3 linked regions of the Xenopus tropicalis genome follow. The protein of the gene in region 1 interacts with the protein of each later gene in a pairwise test. Links are inferred from orthologs where the notes say so. Each region holds a gene or a part of one and is shown on either strand. Other genes may lie near its edges.

Region 1 (5,926 bases):
AAGCCCAGTATTACTTGTTTAATACAGCCCATCATCTATGGTTTACAGATCACCTGGAAAATCAGGGTTAACTAATGAATTGAAATTGTTGGAAGGCAATGATTGGAAGCTGCAGATGTATTAACTACAATCAGTGAAGCCCTCTTCATGATTTTTCATATGATCTTGTAACCTTACCATATGCTGCATTTCCATTATGACAGGACATGTAAAAAGGAAATCCAAGGTACAAAAATAATTGCTCTTCCAGCCAGTATTGTCATGGTGACCATTGTAGTGGCAGTGACCATCGCTGTTTCACAAACCTTCTACAATAAATTCTCATGTTTAAGTAAGCTTTTCTGGTGTCTTTGAACTGCTTTTTACTGCTCTAGGACCAGAGATTCCAAACCTATACCCAAAGTGTTCCAGGTACATCTTGGCCTTGCCCCTCTTCTGCCCTGGCCCCACCCTCCGCCACGTTCCCTAGTTCGGACAACAGTGGAGCACACTGGGTGATGATTTTATAAATTTCAATACTGCTGGTGAGTTAAAATTTGGGTGCAATTTACAGTTGGTGATGAACCTGTTACTGTGGGTGACTGGATAAGGGGGCATAAATCTGGATGACTCCTGAAAAATACAGGTGATTTGACATGTCTGCAGTACACACCTACACAAATATAAAAATGGCCATTTACACAAGTGCAAGGAGACCAAGGGGTGCAAACCACACCTACATGAAGCTACTGGGGGCATCTTTGTATTTACAGATCTTTACAGCTAATGGGCTGGGGTGGTCTATGGTTGGTGGAGAAACCCAAAACATAAAGCAGCATTTGTAGCCTGTTTATTGCTTTTTAGGTATACTTTGCTGTTTTCAGAGAATCCATGGTGTGTCAGTGGATCTTTTGTTATCAATTTACTGTTTGGAGTGCAACGCAGGAAATGCCAGAAAAGAGTTGATTAAACTCTCACCTCAATGACTTCAGTCATTTACACAGGAGAAAGGTGTGCTAAATATCTTATGCCCCCCAAGCCTTTAAAGAGACATTTCCATTGTATACAGTTCCACAACCAGCAGGCAGTTCTTCATGGTCTAACAGCTTCCCTGTTTTAGTTACAAGTCTATTAAAAGAGGCAAATAAACATTAAACCCACATCTCACTCTTACTTGCCTTCAGGCTTGGCTTCCAAACACCATAACAAGGTTATATAACAGAAATGTACAAGCATTGGGTTAATAATCACCCTGCTAAAGCTCCAGATCAATTAAACACTCACCCCGGATTTTACTCTCTGGTCTTTAGGCTGCCCCCCTTAGCTTAATAACAAGGTCCCACAAAAACTGGATGGCCTTAATTATTTTCATGATGGTGCACTATAGTGACAAATTATTATATTATGAGTATTATTATATTAAAGGAACAGTAACACCAAAAAAATTAAAAGTTTTTTAACATAAATATAATGTACTGTTGCCCTGCAGTTGTAAAACTGGTGTTTGCTACAGTAACACTACTATAGTTTATATAAATAAGCTGCTGTGTAACCACGGGGGCAGACGTTCAAGCTGATAAAAGAAAGAAAACGCACCGGTTACATAGCAGATAAGCTGTGTAGAATATAATGGGGGTTTATCTGTTATCTGCTAAGTAACCTGTGCCTTTTCTGCTTTGAATGGCTGCCCCCATGGCTACACAGCTGCATTCCTTATATAAACTATAGCAGTGTTTCTGGGGCAAACACACCAGTTGTACCAGTGCAGGGCAACAGTACATTATATTGGAAATGCTTTTATACAATGTTTTGGAATTTCTGTTTCTTGGGAGAGTGGGCATCTTAACATGAGTCTAGCCAAACTAACGTTAATTAAGTCAAAATCAATCTATTTCTTTAATATTGCATGTTTACTTGAAGCTACTTAGTAACCCTATCCATACACCTACGGTAGGTGTGACAAATTCGTTGTATGGCTAGGGTTCCCGGGTTCCAGACGGTACACATTAGTGTCTATATACGCATTACCACCTAAAGAAGCATAAGTGACGACAGGCGTTTTGTATATATACGGAACGCGTCAGCCTCCACGTACGAACTGCGCTCAGAGCGTCACATGACGTCACTTGTCAACGTTCCACGGATTACGTCGCTGTCGCCGGAGCCTGCGCAGCAATGTATGCGCGATGTAATAAAGTTTATTGAGACGAGGTAGGGCTGCGGCTTAGTGACAGCGCTCCGACCGGGGGTGGGAGGAAATGAATGGAAGGGGCGGGGCTGGGTATGGAAGGGCGGGGCTTGTTTGAACTCTCGCGACACACACCCCATTCCCAGGCTCCTCCCCTCGCCGGCCTTGCTGGGAAAGGGATGTTTGTCCGCCATCGCGGAGGAGTTTAGTCAGCGCTGGGTGTTAGGGCGTTCGTATAGTTTTAGACCCCCCTGCAGCCCCGGGGGCCGCATTGAAGGGAGACCAGACTGCCGTAAAGGAGCTCCCGCCGGGTCGCTGACAGGCCGGGCCCGGGGCCTCCTCACACCTACACCCGCCGGGGGGAGACAAGGAGGGGCCCCGGGGCCGAGTGTGAGCGAACAGCCGCCAACATGTCGAACCTAGGGAAAAGCACCGGCAGCCGGAAGGATACCAAGATGAGGATCCGAGCCTTCCCGGTGAGACTCATAGGATACTTGTGGGCAAATCCCCGGGGGCCACATATGGATGGCAGTGTAAATACAGGAGGCGGGCTATAAGTGTCACTAGCTGTGACATCCAACCTATCATCCTGTAGCTCCTCTTCTACCGGATATCCCAGCATCCTCTCCGAGCCAAGTGCAGAGCTGCTAGTGTTTGTGCACAGGTAGCACTGCATTGTAAACATTGGCTGCAATGTGCTTCCAATAAAGGCTCTGTGAGCTGTATGTATGGCATGGAAAGCCCATTGCCTCTGTACAGCTGTGCTAGCTGTGACTGGATCATTTCATCTAGCTGCCTGACATCTGTATGGCCATGAGTATGGGATGCCCAAATTCACACATTATTTATACTAAACTACTACTCCCAGTATCATCTGACAGCGAGCCCCATTGCAGTTTACCATATAGATGTGTATCATGAGCCCCCACTTAAATAAACTAGACAGGGATACCCAAGTAGCCATCCTATAGCCAATACATGGAGCATATCAATGCCAGCTGGAGTTGTGCTTCAGCAGGTGGGCTGCATTAGTTGCCCTGACCTGTACAAATGCATGAGGCCGCTTGCCAAAAGATATATAGACTTGAGTTAATAAAAAGCAGTTCCACCCCAAAACATATTAATAAATGAAGAAGTCATTGTTAGAAACTTGCCATTAGGGTGAAGACACATGGAGCAACTTAGTAGCAGCTACTAGTCATGGCTAATACATGTAAATGTAAATGATCAGCATTGTCTGTTTCTGTAGCCATGACAAGTGGCTGCTACTAGTAGGTCTGTGTGTCTTCACCCTTATAGTTTTCTGTTGTTTATAAGGGTGAAGACACATGGAGCTAATAGCTGTTACTTGTCACGGCTACAACAATAGACAATGCTGATTATTTACCGATACATGTCTCTACGTGTGGTTTAGCAGAGGCAATTCTCAGTATTGTCTATGGCAGAGTATTTTCTGGCATTTACTAGCCATGACAAGTAGCTGCTACTTAGTAACTCATTGTGTTTTCACCCTAAGCTTTTTTTAATCTTGGTTAAAAGTAGTATTTGTTAAGTCCTTTGTGTAGCCTAGTTCTGACTCTTGAACAATGTAGCAGAAGTCTGTTTTCCAGGTCTTTTAATCAACTACTTTCTGTTGAATTATTTCAGGTGTCCAGCAGAGGAAAGAATATAAACTGAAATAGAAAATACTTTACAAACGCAGAAAAAAATTTAATATTGGAAAGTTGCCTCAAAATATAGTTATACAAAAAGCTGTTTGTTTTTTTTTTGGGCATATTTCCACTTTAATAATGTGTACTTAGTTCAGGACTTATGCAGTATATAAACAAGTATTGTACATCCCAGGTAACAGCATATTACAAGTTAGTCATTTATTTCCCTGTTATGTTCTTCTTAAAACCAAAAATTGCTTGGATGAATATGTATATTCTAAGCATGTAAAATATATATGCATTATCCCAGCAGATCATCCACTGTTCTCTGACAGTGTTTCCACAGCTCCTTGTAGCTGCACTGATGGGCAGTGTAGCTACGGAGTGTAAATCAGACTGAGAAATGCAAAAGCCTACATTTTCAGGCTGTTCTTTGCTTGGTGTAGCTGCACTTGGTGGATACACTGGCTGTCACCATAACATTAGCAGTCAGTAAATAGACATTCAGGTTAGAAGATTTGTATGGAATGCAGTAGTGATTTCCTGCCATTTGTTGTTGGTCACTGATCTATGGTTTCGCCAAAGAGAGTGGAGTATTATCCAGTCTGGTGAATATCCCTACACATAAAGATATGCACAGTTATGTATAATGCCGCTTTACAGTCATTCTAATCAGAAGCCAAAACAATGCTGATGGTGGGAAACTGCAGTCCATGCATTTGGCACCTATTGCCTCACTCGCTGTGGACCCTTTACCTGGATAGTCAGGCAGTGAACTCCTTGGGGCATTTTTGTAATGGCCTTCCCAGCCCAATCTGTCCCTCAGATGTCACCTGGGGACACAGGTATAAAGGCATAACATTCTGAGTACATGCTTCCAGTGTTAACTTGGTGTGCAGAGACCTGAGAGTTTATATTGATTTCAGATTTGGAGCTGCTCTTATAGCAGCAAGGTTGTAAATTGGTTGTTAGATGAAGGAAAGGTATTTAATCCTGATCTGCTCATGAAGATATGGGAATGCCAGTGCACACTAAACTAGGCAGTGCACCTGTATGCATGCTTAAAAGAACATTGTACTGGCAGTTCTACAATTAGTGATTCATACACACAGTTGGCAGGCAGTCTCACTGAGCTAAGCAAGCAAGAGAGTTTCCATTCTAAATCTATATCTTGGTGAAGCCAGCCAATTACCTGTTGCCTGAACGTTCATTTACTGTTTATTTAAATGTTTATTTAACATTTAAATTATTTTTGGTATGACTTTGTAGCAGACCAAAGGTATGGTGATCCAAATTATGGAAGAACCTTATCCAGGAAACTCCAGATTCTGTGCAGGTTATATCTTGGTGAAGCCAACAAATTGCATTCTTCCTGTTGCCTGAAAGTTACAAACAGCATAATTTATAATCATGTATAATTTTATCAGTTGTTTATAACTTACAAATTCTATAATACTTTTGTTTTGCTTCCACCACTGATATAATGAAACTGATTGCCTTACTGTGCACTTTTTAGATTAAAGCTGCATGACTATGTCATTTGATTGGCCCAGTTTGTATTTTCTAGAATTGGTACTTAATAATTACATGTATATGACATCTGGAAACCAAATATAGACAGAAGAATCAGATCTTTGTGGACTAGGTAAACTAGAACTGTGCATAGGTTTTAAAGAGTAAGTCCAGGACAATTTTCTGCTTTAATCATTGCTTTATTCACATGTGCAGGAAAAGTTCATAACTCGCTTTATTGATGTCCACACTTGAGGCACATAAAAGTTTGTTTGCACAGCCAAGAGCAGTCTATCTGTATATATTTTATATTTCACATTCATAAGTAAACAGTGATATTTATGTGCTAATAGTGAACCCCTGCGCTTATGACTTTTGAGAAAATATGTTTAACATACAGTTATGATGATCCAGCTATTCAGCCATCTAACCAACCTGTTGGGCCAGAATCCCTTAAAATAGCTGATTGTGGCCTTAAGCTGGTTGTGCTTATGTATGTATATTAAAGGAACAGTAACACCAAAAAATGAAAGTGTATAAAATTAACTAAAATATAATGTGCTGCTGCCCTGCACTGGTAAAAGTTGTGTGTTTA
Region 2 (5,878 bases), on another chromosome or scaffold:
CTTTAAGACTGGGTGCCCTCCTAGGTGTCATTTCTGGGGATTCATCTAAATATTTATATTTTTAAGTATGCCGGTGTCTTGACAATATCTTCTGTATGTCTCTCCACTGGTTACTAAAGGTGCTAATAAAACTAGTAGGGTTTTAGCAAATCTTCTCATATAGAATGTTTAGCCCGTTTTCTATCCTTTGTTTACACTGACATTGTAATAACCTCTCTTTTGAGTTTTTAACTTTGTGCTCACTGCCCAAATATTTCTTTCTTCAAACAGTTTCTGCAAATTTTAAAAAATGTCCCTATGGGAACCAATAGCTTAACATTATTGACATGATGGCTACAGAAATGTAAGATGGAGTTGGTGGTCTCTTTACAAAACAAATCCATAATTGTTGGTTCAAGAATAAAATTTTAAATGTTAGAGTGAATTATTTGCTATGTAAACAGTGTAATTTAGAAATAAAAGGTAAACCATAAAAATCATGACAGAATCCACTTAAAGTTACTTGCATCAAAATGTGCTCTCCGCCACTCAGTCCCTTATACTTTCTGTTCTGAATTGGGCGCTACTGTGCCTATTGACGCAGGGGACCCTGTATCTACCGCCACCTCCTGACCAGGCAGTAGCTTCAGGGTTCCCTTCACACCCAGCATCAATAGGTCCACTTTCACCTAAAGAATCAGGTGGAGATGCTACTTGCATGCTGAACACCAGAAATGACATAGGCATCTTCCACTCAGTTGCATCTGAACTGCAACAAAATGTACAAGCAGTTTGCGTTAACTTAGGCAAATTGGATCAAACTGCATTAGGCATATCACAATGACACTGGAATTCTGTTGGGGAAAACATTGCAGTATGGAAAGAAAACATGGCAATTACAATTGAAATTGCACTTTGCTCGCTGCACTTGCAGACGTAAATGAGCCCTATAAAGTGTAGTCAGTTGTCAGAGAAAGTTATCCCTACTGCAATTACTCAGTTACTAGTGTTGCTTTTCTCCCTGAGCTGCCAGAGGTGAATATACAATGACGTGACATTGAGCTTCTTACACTTTTCCTACCTACAACTGGTACATTACTAGGGGCCAGTGTGTGTGTGTGTGTGTCTGGAATTAGTCCTGCTCAGACCCCCTAAAAATAATTTTGCTGACACCTGAAGTTAATAAAGCATGGGCTGAATGTTTTTTTGCCATTATGTTGCCTACATAGAGCTTATACTGAATGAGGCAAATGGATCAGCAATGCAAAACCATCTGCTGGTGGAAACTGGCACTGCATCCTGCATCCTGGCTCAGCCTCTGTGCTTCCTGACCTACAGCCTCCCCCAACCACTGCCCTGAATCCTTCTCTGTACATTTGCAAGTAGTTACATACATATACACACATACACTCTCTCTCGCGATGTATATATATATATATATATATATATATATATATATATATATATATATATATATATATATATATATATATATTTATGTAGAAAGAAGTCCAAAGGGTGAACACCATTACTAGGAGTAATAAACCGTTAATGTTGTTGTATTTACATATTTGTTTGACAATTCTTTAAATCATAGAAATATAATTTTTTTTTAAAAATAAAAAACTGTTATCAATGCTTATGCCAGAATGGAACATATGGAACATCTTCCAAAAAACTGAAATGGTCATGTCCCACAACCAGCAACAATATCTGATAACCTTAAATGATCCATCTGCAGTAGGTATTTACTTTAGGATGCTACATATATTGCACATCAGTGCATCAGTGACAGAGCTGAAAAAAACACAAATGTATTTATTTTTTATTTAGATAAAATCTAGAAAAATATTTATATATAGTCAAAGTATTGCTGTTCATAATATAAGTAGTGCATGCTATGTAGGAAGCTGCTAATAATAAGGCACTGAGTGTATCTGAGTGTAATTTTATCTTAATCAGGATGTCCCCATTTGCCACCTAAATGAGGGGGGGACAGCAGTGAGTAAGTAGAAGAGGACTTGTACATTGCTAGGGGCCCAGCTGTAGGTTCCAACCTACAAAAGGGATGTGAGTGAGATGCAGTAGCTCAGAGTTACAGTAGTGGAGCCCTCAGAGCTACAGCCTGTGTGTTTGTGTATGGCAGAGGGTACAGCAGAGTAGTGTCATTCCTACTATAGACACAGACACACTCACACACACACACACTCACACACACACACACACACATGCTGTACAGGCAGCTCACCTTGTGAGAATCAATCCCATCAGCTCGGAGCCCTGTGACAGTGCAAGGAGGGCTCAGGCAGCAGCCGGCACATAGGATACTAAAGGGGCTTGGATGTATTCGGCTTGTGCCGGGAAACACATCGCAGAAGAGAGGCAGATCTGGATCGGGGCAGCAGGCACACAGCTCCTTGAGGTAAGTTCCCTGCCCGTATGGGGAACCATTGTTTGGGACAGAGCACAAGCAGGGGCAGCGGCAGCAGCATCCCGTATAGCTCTCTATGGAGCAGCAGCATCCCGTATAGCTCTCTATGGAGCAGCAGCATCCCGTATAGCTCTCTATGGAGCAGCAGCATCCCGTAGCTCTCTATGGAGCAGCAGCATCCCGTAGCTCTCTATGGAGCAGCAGCATCCCGTATAGCTCTCTATGGAGCAGCAGTATCCCGGAGCTCTCTATGGAGCAGCAGCATCCCGTAGCTCTCTATGGAGCAGCAGCATCCCGTATAGCTCTCTATGGAGCAGCAGTATCCCGGAGCTCTCTATGGAGCAGCTCCCCATACAGTCCTACACATTTCTCCCTAGGGGGAGGCAAATGAGAATCGAAGTGATGCTAGTGATGCTTCTAGTTATCCTAGAAATGACCCTGGAGTCTGGAGACGAGCTCCACAGTATGAATAAATAGATCGCGGCACTTCTGTAGCAGTCACTCTGCACGGAGCACCAAGAGATACGCAGTAGCTGCGATTTAGTTGTGTCGGTCACTGGGCACAACGTCCCAAGGTTAAAACCCTCTCGGCGTGTTTGGGATCGCTCCTTGGCAACTCGCTGCTCTCATTGGGCTGTTGGTCCTTTCAGCACCACAAGTGCCGGACAGTTCCTGCAAGGGGCTCAGTATCTGCGTCTGTTATTGCGCTCAGCGGCGTCTCCGAGTTCCCTTTATGGGATCTCATAGGGTGTCAGTGTTCCCTTTATGGGATACAGGATCAGGTCCCTTTATGGGATACAGGATCGGTTCCCTTTATGGGATCTCATAGGGTGTCAGTGTTCCCTTTATGGGATCTCATAGGGTGTCAGTGTTCCCTTTATGGGATACAGGATCAGGTCCCTTTATGGGATACAGGATCGGTTCCCTTTATGGGATCTCATAGGGTGTCAGTGTTCTCTTTATGGGATACAGGATCTCATAGGGTGTCAGTGTTCTCTTTATGGGATACAGGATCTCATAGGGTGTCAGTGTTCTCTTTATGGGATACAGGATCTCAGTGTTCTCTTTATGGGATACAGGATCTCATAGGGTGTCAGTGTTCTCTTTATGGGATACAGGATCTCATAGGGTGTCAGTGTTCTCTTTATGGGATACAGGATCTCATAGGGTGTCAGTGTTCTCTTTATGGGATACGGGATCAGTTCCCTTTATGGGATACAGGATCTCATAAGGTGTCAGTGTTCTCTTTATGGGATACAGGATCTCATAGGGTGTCAGTGTTCTCTTTATGGGATACAGGATCTCATAGGGTGTCAGTGTTCTCTTTATGGGATACGGGATCAGTTCCCTTTATGGGATACAGGATCTCATAAGGTGTCAGTGTTCTCTTTATGGGATACAGGATCTCATAGGGTGTCAGTGTTCTCTTTATGGGATACGGGATCAGTTCCCTTTATGGGATACAGGATCTCATAGGGTGTCAGTGTTCTCTTTATGGGATACAGGATCTCATAGGGTGTCAGTGTTCTCTTTATGGGATACAGGATCTCAGTGTTCTCTTTATGGGATACAGGATCTCATAGGGTGTCAGTGTTCTCTTTATGGGATACAGGATCTCATAGGGTGTCAGTGTTCTCTTTATGGGATACAGGATCTCATAGGGTGTCAGTGTTCTCTTTATGGGATACGGGATCAGTTCCCTTTATGGGATACAGGATCTCATAGGGTGTCAGTGTTCTCTTTATGGGATACAGGATCAGGGTTCACTTTATAGGATACAGGAGGGTTGATTCACTAAAGGTCGATAAAACGTGCTTTATTTATAGTGTGCGTTAAAAATTTTATTGCGTCTAATTTTTCACGAATTAGCGCAGGATTCACTAAAAGCATACTTGTGTTAATTTACACGCGATGCTGCTTGCGTTATTTTAGTCATGAAGACTATTATCGTGCGGTATTTGACGGAACATGTGCTAATCAACGCACCGCGTACAAATAATCGCCGTGTGCAAGAAAACGCACGCCATGTTAGCCATACATGCCATTACTTTCGGAAAATTACTGTACTGAAAATGCCCATTTCCCTGCAAACTGGCGGCTGCATCACTCTAGGGGCAACACAGACTTGAATAAACCCAACTGCAAAGTCCATATTTTATTGCCAAAAGCTCATTAACTGTACTTTTCTATAATTACCGCCTGCCTCAAGTAGGTGTTAATTTTCGCACAGACAAATGCGATATTTAGCTCGTCTAAGTGTTTGTGAATCATGTGTTAGTGTTATTTCGGCGCACGGTAGTGCAAAATTTAACGCATGCGATATGCAATTTAACGCATGTGTTAATACTTTAGAGAATCGCGCTTTTTTTTCTGCGTCAATTTTAACTAAAAAAAGCATGCGATAAAACTTATCAACCTTTAGTGAATCAGCCCTAGGATCTCTGAGTTCCCTTTATGGGATACAGGAAAGGGTGTTTGCAAAATGGGACACACTGCTTGCTGTCACTGCCTCCTTATCCCCAGCTAAACAGGTTTGGCCATGCTGACTATTTATGCAGGAGCAACTGAAACAAATGCTTATATTAAAACAGGTGACTGCTTTGTGCTTATTGTGTTTGGAAATAATATGTAAAATGATCTGGTTGGCTGAAAATTGGTCGTCCGCACAGGGGAACATTTTCTGTGTGAACTGTATCATTTAACAGCCAGGTTTGAAATGCACCCAGTGGATTTGTCAGACTCTAAATGCCATGTAGAGAGATGCACGCAGCTGACTAATTAAAGTTGGAACACACACGTGGCTCTGCCCAGCCTTGGAACACTTATTACTCTTACAAGCTTCATTTTTATTTTGGTGCATGTTTTATTTGTATAATTAGCACTGAGACAGCAGCCACAAACTCTGCCCATCCTGAATAACATGTTAGTGTTCCCTGATCAATCAAGTCCCCTTAAATACAGGCTACAAGTTACACAACATAGGCAGGGGCTGACCATTCCATGGATTGTACACATGAACACTTGCTAACAGGCTGAAAGGTCTCTTACATACAGGTGTTTGCAGTATGATGATATAGCATGTTATCATTATTTGCATTAGTGGGTGTGAATGTTGGATATGTTTGTGACCACAGTATCAAATCTTTTATCCACATGCCTTTATCATTGGATAGAATCAGCTCATAGCTTATAATAATGGTTACATCTCTGGCAATTGAAGGGTTTGGGAATATAAAACTGTGGAACTATAATACAAATAAACATGACATGCATTCTGCAAGTTTATGCAGTGAATCCCTCTCATTACAAGGGGAATGATTTAATGTCTTTACCAGTTATTTTTGCTTATATGTCCTGTGCTGTTGAATAGACAGCAGTTTTCTGATTGGATAGAATGCTGTTTTGGCTTTTTATTTACACATGGGGAAGAGCAGTAGCCCATGATTCACTATGCTATTTATGACATGG
Region 3 (6,133 bases), on another chromosome or scaffold:
CTGCCAGCTCAGCTTTTGCACACAGAGCCCCCTGTCAGTGTATTATGTGCCAAAACTTCCCCTAACTATACAGATCCCCCACAAAACCATATATTTTTGGAAAGTACACATTCTGACAAATCCAACAAGGGTAAAGAGTCCTTTCTACACCAAAGTACCAATCTGCAGAGCTTTCCTAAAGTTATTGGTTTTTATGACATTTCAGAAAATTGCCTAAAAATGTTGCAATTTGTCACATTTATCTCACACAATTTCTTGCGTACAAAGGCAAATCACCCCCAATAGGAACACCAGAGGCCTACTGAACAGTTTGATGCCCAATATGCATAGATATACCAAAGTCTGCGGTATGTACTGAACCCTAAATGAAAATAGCGCATAAGGATTTCTCGCCTGCCAGCTCAGCTTTTGCACACAGAGCCCCCTGTCAGTGTATTATGTGCCAAAACTTCCCCTAACTATACAGATCCCCCACAAAACCATATATTTTTGGAAAGTACACATTCTGACAAATCCAACAAGGGTAAAGAGTCCTTTCTACACCAAAGTACCAATCTGCAGAGCTTTCCTAAAGTTATTGGTTTTTATGACATTTCAGAAAATTGCCTAAAAATGTTGCAATTTGTCGCATTTATCTCACACAATTTCTTGCGTACAAAGGCAAGTCACCCCAAATAGGAACACCAGAGGCCTACTGAACAGTTTGATGCCCAATATGCATAGATATACCAAAGTCTGCAGTATGTACCGAACCCTAAATGAAAATAGCGCATAAGGATTTCTCACCTGCCAGCTCAGCTTTTGCACACAGAGCCCCCTGTCAGTGTATTATGTGCCAAAACTTCCCCTAACTATACAGAGACCCCCACAAAACCATATATTTTTGGAAAGTACACATTCTGACAAATCCAACAAGGGTAAAGAGTCCTTTCTACACCAAAGTACCAAGCCGCAAAGCTTTCCTAAAGTTATCGGTTTTTATGAGATTTCAGAAAATCGCCTAAAAATGTTGCAATTTGCCGCATTTATCTCACACAATTTCTTGCGTACAAAGGCAAGTCACCCCAAATAGGAACACCAGAGGTCTACTGAACAGATTGATGCCCAATATGCATAGATATACCAAAGTCTGCGGTATGTACTGAACCCTAAATGAAAATAGCGCATAAGGATTTCTCGCCTGCCAGCTCAGCTTTTGCACACAGAGCCCCCTGTCAGTGTATTATGTGCAGTAACCCCCCCCTAACTATACAGTGACCCCCAGAAAACCATATATTTTTGGAAAGTACACATTCTGATGAATTCAAAATAGGTAAAGTTATTTTTGTACACCAAAGTTACACCTGGCAAAGCTACGCTAAAAACAGATCAGGAACACTTATATAGGGATAAAATGTGATAAAACCACAAAAATTGTGCAAATCAGTGAAACAACAAAATAAGTTACATGACAGTGTAATTAGTGGCCAGAATATCTGATCCAATAGTTACGCTGTCAAAATAAACAGTTTTTAGGTAAAAGAAAATAAAAACAAAGTGGTAAAATGAAAAAAAAAAAAAAAAAAAAGCAAAACAAAAAAAAACCAAAGTGTTTGTGTATACATGTGTGTACATGTGTAAAAGTTGTGTGATAGTGTGTAAGTGTGTATATGAGTGTAAATAAGTGTATAAAAGTGTGAAAAATGAAAAAAAAAAAAAAAAATAAAATAAAAAAATGCTAAAATGTGTGCTGTAAGTGTGTGTACATGCCGCCGCTGCAGAGGGCAGCGCTTAAACGCCAACGACGTATGAGACACGTCGTTGGCGTTTAAGCCCTTTTACTGCCAGCACGTATGCCATACGTGCTTGGCAGTAAAAGAGTTAAAAGGTGTGAAAAATACAGGGGATTACATTTTTAAACAATACAGGGGGATTACAGCCTGACTCTGAGGTGAGAACCATGCAGGGGGCCAGTTAATCCCAGTACTGATACCATTTAATGCTTACACAAAGGTAAGCCATCAAAGCAGCCAGACAGGTGGGGGGCCACACAGAGGGGGGTCGCGGGCCGCCAGTTGGACAGCACTGGTTTAGGATATGACTAGGCATTCACTAGTAAATTCGATGATATAGCTAATATTATATATTTCAGTTATTAGGTATGCAAGAGAATATTTGTGAAATGAAGTAAAACATTATATTGTTTATTATATTTATTCTACAGATAGCTCTGGGTCCTGATTAATTACTGAATGCGGAGAAAGCAGAAGCAAAGGTAACTGAAGACTAGAGGGCCTGCCCTATGTTCCCTCTAACTACTACTTGGCTCTGCGTTAAAAACAAAAGTTTACACTTTTTAAAACCATGTGTGCAGTGCTTGTGCACTGGTCTCAACATTAGTGTATGTGTAGAGAGAACAATACTGGGGACACAAAGGGTTGAAAGTTTAACACCACCGACATACCCAGTGTTGGCAGGGTAGTCACGAAGCAAAGACCCCCAGCTGGGAGGGGCTTAGCAAAAGGTGCGCCGTGATTTAAAATACGAGCATGCTGTGAGGGTCTAATGAACCCAAGCCCCTCCTTTAACCCTTTAATCCATCTCCGGGCCGTTCAGTGCTAGGGGTGCAGGTGGAAAAGCTTAAAAACCGTTTTCTTTTGCTAATTGTTATATACTTCTGGAAAAGGACAGCGCGCTATAAAATTCTTTCCGACGCCTCATTTTGTGAAGCTTTTTTTCGGTATTAATTCGACGTCTGGACTGCACTTTACCTTGTGTGCTTAGCACAGACAGACGATGGACGCGAATAAAAATCAATAGCTATACAAAGTAAACGATAAGGAACGGAGCAGACACAAAGGCGAATGAAAAAAAGGAAGGGGCAGGATTAATCTGCTGAACTTGTGAGCCAATGAGCTGAGGGAACGTCACTCGGGCGAAGTGTCCGGTGTTGCCGGAAGCATGGCTGCCTAGTGAGGAGAGAAAGGGATAGCCGGGCATGGAAGGGCTTGAGGGCTGCAGTGGGGATGTGATACACCTCAATGTGGGGGGAAAGAGGTGAGTTATTAGCTAGTACGCATGCGTTTGTAACGCTAAATGATAAGCGGATTGTGTTCAATGTTGTGAGGAGAACTTATGGACGGGAGAGTGTTATTGAGTGGCATCCTGTTTGCATACTCAGTTGTAGTGTGCTTCACGCATTGTATAGGATGGGGTGGGTACTGTGAATCAGTGCCTGGTTGCCGGTGTGTAATTAGGTGCTCTTAGGTGGCATGTTCCTTGCTATTTGTGTATCCCTTTCTGGTGCAGTGATGGGGCGTGTGTGGGAGAGAACGTGTCATTAGAGGTGTGAGGAAAGTCTGCCTTAGTGTGGCTGTATGGATGTAAATCTTTTTATAAAGTGCTACTTATCTAAGCCAAGCTGTGCACTAGAATAGATTAATACAACAGGGGGTTATTAAAATAATAGATAAATACAAAGTTTAACAAGAAATACAAATAAATACAAGGTACATTTAAATACAAGGGACAAGAGACAAGAGGATGGAGGTCACTTTTAATGAGCCTGAAAGTGTGCAGAGACATGTATCTAAACAGGAATGGAAGAGTTAAACTATTGATGACACTGAGGGGGACATTCATCAAAGTACGCGTTTCAATCCCGAAATGGGAAAAATTCAGATACAATAATTTCTGATGATCGCAAATATCACGAAAATGCTTACGAAAAAATCAGAATAGTCACGATAATATGGGTGGGAAAACCTTTCTGACTTTGATCCTTCTGTGCATGATTTTGGAAGCCTCCCATAGGAATGAATGACACTCTGAAGCTCGAACCTGGGCCAAGGAAAGTCACGATACCGAAGCTTGAATGAATCAGAAAATTTTGTACTCGGCGCGAAAATACGATTTTGTTGCAAATGTACGAAAAAGTCACACAAAGTACGAAAAAGTAGCAGAAAATATGCACAGTACAACCAAATACAAATGTTTTGTATTTCGTACCTGTCGTACTTTGATAAATGTGCCCCTGTTGAGTTGGGATTGGTTTTTTTTTCTGGAGGGGACATGAATGCTCTTTACAAATACATTAAATGGCATAGACAGATAGCAGGGGATCTTTTGATCTTTTCTGTTGGGGGAAGAAAAAAAAAAGTACTAAAGGCCACCCCTTTAAATTTGAGGAACTGAACAAGATCTATCCAAGGCTACAGGTGTAGGTGTCATTATATATTTAAGTGTATCTGTAGGTCTGTATAGGTTTATGTATATATAATTATGCATATACATTGAGGGTGGAGGGGTTGAATTTAGTGCGCGCTTGTTGTATGTGTGTGTGGTTTAAGTATGTAACAAACTGGCCAACAGTATGAATCTAAGTGAACTTGAGAATAAATATTCTTTATTTTAAATGGAATTAATGAATGGCAGCCATATGATAACACTTTTAGAAATGGGAATTGCACATACTTTGAATGTTTAATTCTGTGTCACAGGTCTTATGGCAATCATACATTTTTTAATTGTAGGTTCAGTACCTCCAGACGGACCCTGACGTGGGCATCTGAATCTTTCTTTTCAAGGTCAGTATAAAATTGTTGAAAGATGAAGAAAAATAGTTTTTAAGCAATTTATTGATTGTACAGGAATACAGTTCAACTTTCACACAGTTAAAGAATAATTAATGTAAAACTTGTTAAAGGGGAGAGGGTGTCAAGCATTTGACTCAATACCTTAGCTTTGGGTTATGAATTTCCATCATGGCCCTATTTGAAGCTAGCACTTACCTATATACCCATAGAAAACGAAGTGTTGATATTCTTAGTAAGGGTGTTATCTAAATAATGGAGCAGATGCTTTAGGATAGAATCCTTTGAAATGGGTTGGCTCATTTAAGGAAAGATAAAAGCAGTTATTCAGCTAAGTAATGACAAGTGTCTAGTTATAATATAGGCAGTACAGATAGGGACTCATGGCTCTGTGGAGCCTAAAGCCAAGAGGCATACATTCTTAAAGTTTGGGATAAGTGTCAAAGCTCAAAAAAGTTGTCTTTTTCTTGTGCCATAATCAACACATATCTGAAGGAACAAAATGGACATCCTTTTAGAAAGTTCAAAATCCTTTACATCACAGTCAACCATGTAGAATGTCAAAGAAATGTAACAATTTGAAAGCAGATTTACTGCATTACTGACAAAATACAAATGAAAAGCAAAATATTGTCTTTTTTTATTCCTCCAGCCTCCTGAGTGGTCGCATCCCTACTTTGAAAGATGAAACTGGGGCTGTGAGTTTTATTTATGTATTTTCTTTCTCATTGCACTTTTAACAAAATTCATCTATATAACTAGATCTATTGTAATATTTGCTTCAAACAGTTACTCTATCTAGTAGTGTGTTTTATAGGGACACCATGCACAATGAATACAAAGTTTGGAAGTAAAGCTTTTTTTATTTTTTTTTTTGAATATGGTTGTCAATTTTAATCTCCTCTGTTACAAATGCCATTTCAGATTTTCATAGATCGAGACCCTACAGTCTTTGGTCCAATATTAAACTTTCTCCGCACCAAAGAACTTGATAACAGGTTGGAATTCTACAGGCTTTTATCTAGTGTGTTAGTGGGATTACATCCCCTTTTTCCTCACTTGTCTTTTATTCATATTCTTTCTAGAGGTGTGAAAAGTTCTGTCCTGCTGCATGAAGCAGAATTTTATGGCATTACTCCACTAGGTAATTCTAGGTTACTCTTTCACTTTACTTTGCCATTTAGTGGTACTCGTTATTAACTATATATTTCCCATTCTCAGTCAGGCGTTTGCAGCTGTGTGAGGAGTTGGAACGCTCCTCTTGTGGCAGTGTCTTGTTCAATGGATACTTGCATGCACCAAGTAAGTTATGTTATATTGATTAACTGAAGGCAGATTGTCAGAACTACCTTAAGGTGGCCATACACTGGCAGATTTTAGCTGCCAATTTGGGTCCTTAAGACTGACTCTGCAGCTTATCTGCCTGTGGATGGGGCCCTCCAGCAAGCCTCCCTAATAATTGGGCAGGCTTAATTTTTCGTTGGATCAGGGACTGCATTGACTCACTGGCGCAGTCCTCGCTCCAACTTTTCCTTTCCCCTTCATTGCAATGCAATTGGTTG

Evidence for each region. The genes of interacting proteins can lie anywhere in the genome.
Region 2: the proteins of cul3 (region 1) and zmat4 interact in binary tests that used the Homo sapiens proteins (3 or more experiments, as listed by UniProt). The two-hybrid records come from large-scale screens. The link is inferred for Xenopus tropicalis from reciprocal best matches to the Homo sapiens genes CUL3 and ZMAT4.
Region 3: the proteins of cul3 (region 1) and shkbp1 interact in binary tests that used the Homo sapiens proteins (3 or more experiments, as listed by UniProt). The link is inferred for Xenopus tropicalis from reciprocal best matches to the Homo sapiens genes CUL3 and SHKBP1.

What each region holds. Positions count from the first base shown.
Region 1 is NC_030681.2:123,778,813-123,784,738, forward strand, and holds the start of cul3 (cullin-3), read left to right. Parts: upstream 1-2,393; 5' UTR 2,394-2,577; coding exon 2,578-2,643; intron 2,644-5,926. UniProt on the Homo sapiens protein: Core component of multiple cullin-RING-based BCR (BTB-CUL3-RBX1) E3 ubiquitin-protein ligase complexes which mediate the ubiquitination and subsequent proteasomal degradation of target proteins.
Region 2 is NC_030683.2:33,354,895-33,360,772, forward strand, and holds the start of zmat4 (zinc finger matrin-type protein 4), read left to right. Parts: upstream 1-2,308; 5' UTR 2,309-2,320; coding exon 2,321-2,401; intron 2,402-5,878.
Region 3 is NC_030684.2:78,044,117-78,050,249, reverse strand, and holds the start of shkbp1 (SH3KBP1-binding protein 1), read left to right. Parts: upstream 1-2,563; 5' UTR 2,564-2,977; coding exon 2,978-3,036; intron 3,037-3,116; exon of another isoform or gene 3,117-3,188; coding exon of another isoform or gene 3,189-3,193; intron 3,194-4,511; coding exon 4,512-4,565; intron 4,566-5,223; coding exon 5,224-5,269; intron 5,270-5,495; coding exon 5,496-5,569; intron 5,570-5,656; coding exon 5,657-5,715; intron 5,716-5,792; coding exon 5,793-5,873; intron 5,874-6,133.